Canis lupus familiaris: one gene and its partners. The protein of the gene in region 2 binds, or shares a complex with, the protein of the main gene of each other region. Links are inferred from orthologs where the notes say so. Each region holds a gene or a part of one and is shown on either strand. Other genes may lie near its edges.

Region 1 (2,803 bases), on a different chromosome or scaffold from region 2:
CTTGGATTCATTTTAAGTATCCGCCCACATATCAGGCTGAGGGCTTCCTGAGAATGTGACCCCATCTTGGCATCATTCTATTAATAAAATAACTCAAATGGATCATGACCTTATCAAGTCAAGCCACTGTGACTTCACCAAACAGCTAAGGCTCCCTCCTGTCTCTCAGGTCAGAACTTAACTATCCCAAGGGTTCAGTGAGTGGTGAGTTGAGTGGAGTGATGTAAGATGCTGGGAAGCAAAAGGGGGCCTTGCGGGTGGGGGACATAGAAGAGTTCACGGATGATGAGGGGCAGAGTCCCTTGTGGGCTTTAAGAGACTGACCTGCCTGAATCCAAGGAGCAGAGACCAAATCCACACAAATCAGTGCTTCCTTATTTTTGCTGAGTTAACATCACTTTAGCATTTTGAGCATCCACTATCTGCAAGGCTCAGGTTACAGCTGGGATAATGAAGCACTGGTCCTCACTCAGGAATTTGTATGGTGGCATATGAAGCACTGGTCCTCACTTAGGAATTTCTATGGTGGCACAGAACCAGGCAGATGAGCAACAGTGGCTCACCTGGTTTCTGCTGATGGCTCCCTGGATGGGAGCATATGAGTCAGATTTGTGAAAAGTTGGGTGGTGCTTAGAACCTCACCCAAGGAAGAGTGAGGAGCTGAAAACCTAGCCCAGACAAGCAGGGTAGTTGCCCTGAGAATGGAGAAAGCCTTGGGAGAGTCCCACCTTTATTTCTGGCCAGCTACCCTGGTGACAGCAGGGTTAACAATCATAGCAACCTAGCTTGTCTACAAGGGAGGCACAATGGCAGCACTGGCACTGAGCCTGGGCCCGCATGTACCCACCCCGGGGCCCCTGGCCGGGAGCAAAGGTACTACTCACTGAACTCGATCAGCAGCTTGCCGTAGCCCCGGCGCTGGTAGGGAGGCAGGGTCAGGATGCAGGCCACATTGTAGTCTTCTGTGGATTCCTTTTCCTGGAAAGGGGAGGAAGGTGAGTGAGGAGGGGACACAGCTCAGGGCAGGGCCAAGAGATGATCTGGATGAGCACTCACCTTGGAGAAGTAGCCGACGATGTGGAAGCCCTTGCAATCATACTCTGTCATGACATAGAAGAGGAAGGGATCTGTATCATAGTACAATGTCTTGTGGTCGAGGAAACACTTGGCCAAAAGACACAGGTTCTGGGAATAACTCTGCAAAGGAAAAGGCGTGTCACCACTCTGGGTACCCTGTCTTAAATGTGGTCATTTGGTTTCTTTACCCAGGGCTGATAGATGATGAGTCTTCCTCCCTGGCACCTGACCCGTTCTATTAGGCTGTCCCTCCTACTCAGGCAGAGCTAATTCTCAGAGTCAAGGAGCCCATGTACCAGCTCTGTGATAGTGTCTGACCTCCTGTCTTGCTGGTGAGCTGGGCAAGTTTACCCCTGTTCCCCATACCTCCCCCTAAGTCTTGTCTGGGGGGTTTCCACTGCTCTCTGCTGCAGTAACAAAAGTCAGTAGGTTGTGGCATGTCTAGAAAGACACTGCCAAGGCTTAGGAGAGGACCTCTACCCTGGTGACAGTCTTAGGAATCTACCTTTTAAAAACCACAAAACTAAAAAAATAAAAATAAAAAAAAATAAAAAATAAAAACCACAAAACTCTCCCGCCTCCAGTCACACATACTGGAGACTGATCTCCTAACCTACAATGGAGATCAGGTGTTCTGAAACTGAAAGTAACTGCCTTAGGGGTCTCCCCACCAAAAGGATTCATCTTGCTGCTTTGCTTTACCTCTATACACATTTTCTGCATATGAGGCATGACTTTTTAGCCAGATGCTGGGCCATCAGGATGCCCAAGTCCACACAGAACAGTAGTGAAAGCAGCCTCCTTCCCTTGAGCTTCCTCAGCACCCAGGCCAGAGCTCTACCCTGTAATTCAAGATGCCCTGCTTCTCCCTTACTGCCCCCTCTTTGCCCCAGGAATGGTCCCACAGTCTTAACGGTCCAGATTACTCCCTTCTTCCTTCCCACAGACTAAGGCAGGTTTGAAGCCCAAAACCTGCAGTGACCCCTACTCCTCCCCCAACTGGCCACCTTCTCCCCACCTGAGCTCTGTATCTTGGAACAGCCTTGCCTCATCCTCTCTGCTTCTCAGCCAGAATGATCTTTACCTTTCCCACCATCTGTACATCCACGACTGCCCTTCAGAACCCCACTCCTTGGGCTTCCCTTACCTATCTTATCCTTCATGTTAAGGATCAAAGATCATCTCCTATGTGAAACTGCTGGCTACCTCTGGGTCCTGATAACCCATCCTTTGTTTCATGACACTTATCCCTGGGATCTGAGTGGATGTTGGCAGATCTGTTTTTGCCATGAACTGTGAACTCAAAGATTCTAATTACTGGTCATCTTTATACCTCCCACTAACTACCTCACAGCAGAAACTCAATAAAAATGGAATGAGCTAATCTGTTGGCCAGACTGCCTAGTATTTTCCTGAGCAGGAAAAAGCTGCTCGTTTAACTTCCCCCAGACCACCAGTGCCAATGACTCCCCACTGCCCCTCAGCCACAGACCTTGTTCTTCCGTCCATCAATCTCAAAGAAAGAGATGGTACCCTTGCGGTAAATCTCATTGCCTGGGGGGTGTCGCAGGTCACACTTGGTCTGAGGAAGAGAGGAGGATCAGAGGCAGGGACAGGGTGGGGGATGGTAGTAAAGCAACCTCCTTGGACCCTTCATACCAAGTGACGCTGCAGACACTTGAGACTACGGCCGTATTTGAGGCAGAACTCGCAGAGGTAGAGGACG
Region 2 (3,654 bases):
TAGTATAGTATAAAATATAAATGACATGGAATTTTGGCTACTATTGATATCAATGTAATGACTGGGGGGAAAGCACTAAATAAAATAAATAATTTCAGTGTCCAGACAATTCTAAAGTAATTAAAAACTGCAATTAAGACTTGAAAATGAAAGAAACATACGTATAAAGCATTCATTAAAAACTACATCCTGGGATGCCTGAGTGGCTTAGCAGTTGAGTGTCTGCCTTTGGCTCAGGACATGATCCCGGGATCTATGTGGGATCGAGTCCCACACTGGGCTCCTTTTGGGGAGACTGCTTTTTCCTTTGCCTGTGTCTCTGCCTCTTTCTCTCTCTCTCTCATGAATAAGTAAATAAAATCTTTAAGAAACAAACAAAAAAAACCCTCTACATCCTCAGGTTTCTTCCTGAAAGCACCTTGATACTATGTTCTGCCTTTTTTCCCCTACCTATACAGGATTATCTTTCTTTTTCTTCACTTTTATGTGTTCTGTAATTCCTTCCTGCCTCCCACACAAATTCTCACACAAGGCATCTAGAGTGTACAGGGGGTACTATCATGTTTAAACAAAAGAGTGATTAGATCCTGAAAAACTGGGTGTCAACGTCAGACCATGCATGGATCCTGGAGCCTTTTTAAAAAAATATTTTATTCATTCATTCATTCATTCATTCATTTGAGAGACAGAGAGAGAGAGAATGAGTGCACATGAGCAGGGGGAGGGGCAGAGGGACAGGGCTCAATCTTATGACCTGAGCTGAAACCCAGAGTCAGATGCTTAACCCAGTGAGCCACCCAGGGACCCCTTCTAGAGTGTTTTCACTGAGAAGTTAAACAACCTAGTGTACTAATTACATGACATTTCTTAGCCTATTCAGTCCTTTCTTCTAATATGTGCCAGAACTTCTGAAACAACTTTTTGTAATCTCTTTTAGTATTTTAGTCAAAAAAATCATTTAAGAACAGAAAATGGAAACAAATGAGCTATTTAGAAGGATTCCCTCTCTAAAGCTCTAGATTTGATTACCCTACTGTCTTTGTCCCTACTGTACCTATGCTAGGAATACAGAAATAGTTACCTTCCACCACGCCCAACCCGTCTTCGTGTAAATCCAATACACCTCTGGGGTACAGTGAGGGTGGTTAAGCAGTATCTATATCGTACATCCCCTAATCCTCCATCTTTAGGACTAGTCCAAGGCCAGTTGCCAGTTTGGTCTAAGTGAGGCTAAAAACAAAAAACAAACAAAAAAATTATTTTATTTTGTCAGTTAAAGGCAAACAACTTATTATTTAAAAAAGAGAACCTGAAACTTACAGCATAGTACTGACAGCCTGCTTTCCTACGGAAAGCAAAAGGACCATCAGGATCATTTTCTTCTTCAGCTTCCGAAGAGCCAGACAAGACCTTTAAAATAAAATGAAGTGGGTCAAAACATGTGACTTCCTATGTCACTCCTTCCTTCTCCTCTATGCTCATAGAGAAATTTTTATCTTTACCTGGGAGAGAGGTTCTTCATCTGAGCTGGGAAAGTCATACTGATTTAAATCTTTAGCATTAAAGACGGGCAGTGCAGCAGGACTCGTCTGTTGAGGAGTAGCAGCAGCAGACGATGGTAAGACTTTGGGCTTCTTTTCATATTTACGTTTAGGTCGGATAAGATCGGCTTTATCTTGCTGCAATAAAGTCGTATGTTAATCAAACACTAGAAACCATGTTCAACAAACCTGCAGTTTGGGGTATGCTTTAAAAACAGGATTAGAGCTATAATGAAGTCATTCGCACTCAGAAGAGATCTAAGACGCCTATGTTTTGTCATCTTATATTGTAAAGTATTACAGGTTGGTTTCTGTGAAACATTGACATGTTCTTACAACCTAAACATCATCTCATAAAATATTTTGTTTCATTTAAAGTAAAAGAAGAGAGGTTCTTCAGCTTCTGAAATCCTGTAACTACAGTTAGTATTTATCATTGGTTCCTGTACCTTTTCCTAAATTTTCTATGAAAATTCTAGGAGAAAATAAAAAGGGCGGGGGGTGGGGGGAGGTCCTAGTCTTTATTCTAAAGAGTTAACAAATCCATTTTGGGAAAATAATAAAGCAAACAATCTTAATCTTATACACACACAAAGCACCTCAGATAACTCCTAATATGTAGGTGTCACAAAAATAAAGGGAAGTAAAGATTTGGCAGCTAAACAACAAAGGCTTTCTGGAGTGAATCTAGGCAGTTTTAGATGATACAGAGATGAAATCATTAAACAGGGACAACACAAGGATAAAATACAGAAGCAAGAGTGATTGAGCTGATAGTGCACGTTAGAAATATGTGTGCAGGTAAGAGCAAAGGCTAATTAAAGTATGAAGTGTATGACAGGTAAGAAAGGTTACAGGTAAAAATACCTGTTGGAAAGAAAAAGATCACGGCAAGTATCATGGCTGTGTACAGATACTAAATGTCTGTATCAAGTTTTATGTAGTTTATGGCATTACAGTTTTTTGGGGGAAAAGTTAATTCTTAAAGAGTTCATCTATACAGTATCTCTCTTTACTATTCCTACTGTTGTATTAACAGGTTAGTCTTGAATCAAAAGCGGACTTTGCAGCATAGTTCATGGTAGGGTTTATATGTATTTTTCTTTTTCACTCTAATGATAAAACAACATTCTATTACCAGCTACTATTATCATAAAAATTTTTATCACCTTATTTGCTTTGAATTCCTTCACATCCATTGCTTCCTGATGTTTAAACTGACTGCTATTAGTGATCGGGATGATGGGGATGGCATAAGTAGGTTTCATTGGCTGTCTCTGGGCCATAACCTCAGACACGATCTCTCCATTATAGTCACCCAAATTATACCTGAAATTATAGAAAAGAAAGCTGCAAAAATTAAAGTTAGTTCTGTAAATATTTAGGACTATTAAAGCCTGAGATACGATTATAGACACTGAGTAGACTGAAGGCAATATTAAACTTTGATTACTTGCTGAATGCTAATTTAAAATGAAGATTACATGATTCCTTCGGTTTCTTCCGTTACTTTTTGGCTTATAGCTTTACCTTTGCACCATAAATAGATAACTGTGGGGAAAAAAACAAAGGTTCAAATTTTAACTTACCAATTTTGGTGAAAGATTTGGTGGAGATATTGAAATTAATGCCTAAAATGGTGAAGAACTTTCTGCTAATTTGAATTGCCTGTACTATATAAAACTAATTTTCCTTAGATGAATTATGAGAAATTTAATAGTGGTTTTCTTTGGAGATAGTGACTAGGAAATAGGGAAGTGAGGCTTGAAGTTTTCATTGTGTATCTTGTGCCAAATCGTTGAGTGTTAAAATTATGGGCCTCTTCCCCTCCCTTCTTTATACTTCTGTTAAAAAACCCAGTAGGTGTTTAAAAAAAAAAAAAAATCAGTACCATCTGGTGAGTAAATGAAAAACTTTATAACTGACAAATATTCTCTCCCTCCCAACATTGCACTCAAACTCAAATAAGGACAAAAGAATAAGATTATACCTGGCATATTTTAATTTTACCGAGCCCTGTCTGTCACTTTTAAAGAAAATAAAGAGAGGAACAGATGTAAAATTATGCAAAGTATATCATATCACACATTTAATAATCTCTACTTATTATTAA
Region 3 (3,691 bases), on a different chromosome or scaffold from region 2:
TGTTAGCTGAGTGGAGTAGAGAACGTGGAGTACACCCTAGAATTGAGGGGTTACAGGTTAGGACTAGAATGGCAGCCACATAGGAAAGTAAAGGGAAAAACACACTTAAGGGCGAGGGAGTCAAAAACTGGGCAGGGTGGCACCTCAAACATGTGGCTCTCTCTTCAGTCAGGGATGTAGACCAACAGGCTAATCCTGGTACACATGCTGCCAAAGCAAGCAAACAGCACAGACAGCTGACATGCCAAGCTAGCCAGAGTTCAAACTTGCACCGATGGCCATCATTTCCTCCCAACTGATGCTTGTGAAAGACTGCCTGGGAACACATTAATCCCCTCAGCTCTAACCAGGTATTAAGTCATCGCACCAGAGAGTAGTCATTGAACTGCACATTAGCTTAGTGTCCGTCCAATCAAGATGCTTTCACTAAGTTAGGGATTTACTACCATACCTTTGGCTTTTATCAAGGGTCATTAATAGGCATGACTAGGTAAGTGAATGTTTCTACATCATCTAGTGAACCCATTACTTTATAATTTTATGTAGAAGTGCACTTCTTCCTAGGACTTAATGCTGAATAAATTTTTCTCTCTTAAAGAATGTATATGCCTCTTTCTTACTGAAAAAAGAAATTCAGGGCTTGGCTGCCAGGAAGCTCACAGCTAAATTTATTATTTATTTATTTATTAAAATATTTTATTTATTTATTCATGAGAGACAGAGAGAGAGAGAGAGAGAGAGAGAGAGAGAGAGAGGCAGAGACACAGGCAGAGGGAGAAACAGGCTCCATACAAGGATCCTGATGTGGGACTCGATCCCGGGACTTTGGGATCACGCCCTGAGCCAAAGGCAGATGCTTAACCACTGAACCACCCAGGCGCCCCGCTAAATTTAATATAAATTGCTATTACTATTTTAGCAGAGGTTCCTGGTACAATTACTTCTGATCTGTCTCTATTTTTACAGTTCCTACTTTTTGTTTATATTGTAAGCCTCCTTTAATCCTTTTTGGAAGCATGAAGGGTACATATTAAATAACGACTCGTAAAATGACAGGAATAGGAAAATGGCCTTTGGGGGAGGGATGAGAACATTCTATTTTAAACTATAGTTGGTCTACTGTGTAAGTAATGACTCCCAATCAAGTCCTGTGGATTCAAGTCCTATGGATTCAATGTCCTTAATTTGTCTTGAAACTATTGCCCATGTTTCTCTACTCCCACTGCCTCCTTCAAACCATTCTCCTCATTACAGAGTGAGCTTTCTAAAATACAAATCTGATCATGGTACTTTGATGAATCTTCTCAGTCGTCTAGAAAAAGAGCAAAACCCCTCAACATGGTTCATAAGGCCCAACATGATTTGGCCTATGTCCACTCCCTCCAACCTTATCAATTTTATTCTCCTTCAAGGTTTGGAGAAAGGAGAGTAGGCCTGCATGTACCACACAGACTCAGTACCTTTACACATTCTGCATCCCCCCCACCCCTCCACACACACACCGTTTCTCCTTATCCTGCTCCCAGCCCTACTGCTGTTCACTGAGTCAAGGCCTACTTTTCATACTGTAGTAAGCTTAAACATCATGTCCTCCAGGGAGGCCAATCCTAACCAATAACTCTGGCTCCCGTATATTACCACAGCACCCTAGCTTACCATTTTTTTCCCCTCCTTATCACAAAGTATTTCAGCTGTTAATCCAGCTGGTTCCCCCCACTGGGGTCTGGAATACGAGTAACAAAGTGGTGTTTTCAATACTTTACGCTTCCCTAGAACTTACCACAGTGGTTGGCTTGCCCTAGCTCTTCAACAGATATTTTTTTAAATTTTTTATTTATTTATGATAGTCACAGAGAGAGAGGGGCAGAGACACAGGCAGAGGGAGAAGCAGGCTCCATGCACCGGGAGCCCGATGTGGGATTCGATCCCGGGTCTCCAGGATCGCGCCCTGGGCCAAAGGCAGGCGCCAAACCGCTGCGCCACCCAGGGATCCCTTCAACAGATATTTTAAGAATGGACAGATTCAATCAGCACCAGTGCCGGTCCAATCCAGAGAATGGACCAGGCACTGGACGTATACTGCTGGACAAAACAGACCATCTCTAACCTGACAGAGCTTACAATCTAATAGAAAAGTATAAACAAGTAGGCAAACCAAATCTAATTGCAATTCGAAATATATTATATGAAGGAAATAAATGGACCACTTTTTAGAGCAGTTAGGGAAGGATTAACTAAGGAGACATTGACGTTGAGATTTGAAAGGTGAAAAAAGTAGGCTGAGCTCCTGTATTTTGTGAAGAGATCCTTTTCTACCTTCAGGTGGATAACCAAGCAGTAGGCCAGAGTCCATACTGCGTGACTACGAGGAGCTCGAGTACGTTAGACGTCAGAAGTGAAACACGCAACCCGAGAAGTATACGCTTGGTTTCTTCCATGGTCTGGGGTGCCTCGGAGAGCCCCTCATCCCTGAGCCCTCCAACCCCATCCAGGACTCTCCCACCCGCTCTCGAATATCACTCCCAGGGCTGATTCTATCCATTCCCCGCCCCCTTCTTTGTCCGACGTTTCTCCGTTCAGGACTCCTAGTAGCTTCCTCCCCTCCCTCTTCCTGGGCCCGACTCTTGCCTCTGTGAAACCCCCGTAAGTCGTCTGGTAGAACTCATCTTCCTCCTCGGCTTCCAGGAGCCCAGAAAGCCGGTTCCCCGCGGTCTTCCGGGGGGCCCGGCCACCGGCCAAACTCATACTGCCTACCGAGACTGCGCCGCCACCAGCGGCCCCTCACCCAGCGCGGTATCGGCGCTCGACACAACTACCTGCGGCGGCGGGCGGCGGCGGAAGCCCTTCGTCCACAGGCAGAAGTAGGAGAGCGTCGAGACGCTTCTAGGCCCGTCTGTCAAGCCTTCTTCTTCTTCTTTTGTTTTTTAAGATTTTATTTATTTATTCATAGAGACCGAGAGAGAGAGAGGCAGAGACACAGGCAGAGGAGAAGCAGGCATCATACAGAGAGAGCCCGATGTGGGACTCGATTCAGGGTCTCCAGGATCACGCCCTGGGCTGCAGGCGGCGCTAAACCGCTTCTTTACCCTGCAGCCCCGCCCACGGGGGGGGGGGGGGAGCGGCGTGGAGACGACCCCCAAGCTCCCTCCCCTAGCTCGCGCTGATCTGGACTGCAGAATGATTACCGGGTGACGCCAGCAGCCCCACTACCCTAAGTCCAGAATTTGAGAGTCAACAAATGTTCACTTAGAAGAGGTCAGTCTCCCTCTGCTCCAGTCCGTTTTCCACTCTGCTTTTAGTGATGAACCTTTCTTAAAAAACAGACTTTGTCAGTCTTCTGCTCAAAGATCTTTAATGGGGATCCCTGGGTGGCGCAGCAGGTTAGCGCCTGCCTTTGGCCCAGGGTGCGATCTTGGAGACCTGGGATCGAATCCCACATCGGGCTCCCGTTGCATGGAGCCTGCTTCTCCCTCTGCCTGTGTCTCTGCCTCTCTCTCTCTCTCTCTATCATTAATAAATAAAAATTAAAAAAAAAGATGTTTAATGGCTCCCTGGCATCTACAGGTTAAAGTACAGGATTCTTGGGGACAGAACAGTAGTGTGGTTAATATTAGATTTATAACCAACCAGACCTGAGTTTTGAGTTTAGGGTCTTCTAGCTGTGTGACTTTGGACAGTTGGTGGAATCTCA

Evidence for each region.
Region 1: EPC1 (region 2) and KAT5 share a complex: the UniProt entries of both Homo sapiens proteins name them as parts of the nuA4 histone acetyltransferase complex. The link is inferred for Canis lupus familiaris from reciprocal best matches to the Homo sapiens genes EPC1 and KAT5.
Region 3: EPC1 (region 2) and VPS72 share a complex: the UniProt entries of both Homo sapiens proteins name them as parts of the nuA4-related complex. The link is inferred for Canis lupus familiaris from reciprocal best matches to the Homo sapiens genes EPC1 and VPS72.

What each region holds. Positions count from the first base shown.
Region 1 is NC_049239.1:52,003,463-52,006,265, forward strand, and holds part of KAT5 (histone acetyltransferase KAT5), read right to left. Parts: coding exon 2,737-2,803; intron 2,660-2,736; coding exon 2,570-2,659; intron 1,198-2,569; coding exon 1,057-1,197; intron 979-1,056; coding exon 885-978; intron 110-884; exon of another isoform or gene 1-109. UniProt on the Homo sapiens protein: Catalytic subunit of the NuA4 histone acetyltransferase complex, a multiprotein complex involved in transcriptional activation of select genes principally by acetylation of nucleosomal histones H2A and H4.
Region 2 is NC_049223.1:12,483,936-12,487,589, reverse strand, and holds part of EPC1 (enhancer of polycomb homolog 1), read right to left. Parts: intron 2,871-3,654; coding exon 2,711-2,870; intron 1,680-2,710; coding exon 1,503-1,679; intron 1,411-1,502; coding exon 1,321-1,410; intron 1,231-1,320; coding exon 1,082-1,230; intron 1-1,081. UniProt on the Homo sapiens protein: Component of the NuA4 histone acetyltransferase (HAT) complex, a multiprotein complex involved in transcriptional activation of select genes principally by acetylation of nucleosomal histones H4 and H2A.
Region 3 is NC_049238.1:60,907,428-60,911,118, forward strand, and holds the start of VPS72 (vacuolar protein sorting-associated protein 72 homolog), read right to left. Parts: upstream 2,819-3,691; 5' UTR 2,746-2,818; coding exon 2,629-2,745; intron 1-2,628. UniProt on the Homo sapiens protein: Deposition-and-exchange histone chaperone specific for H2AZ1, specifically chaperones H2AZ1 and deposits it into nucleosomes.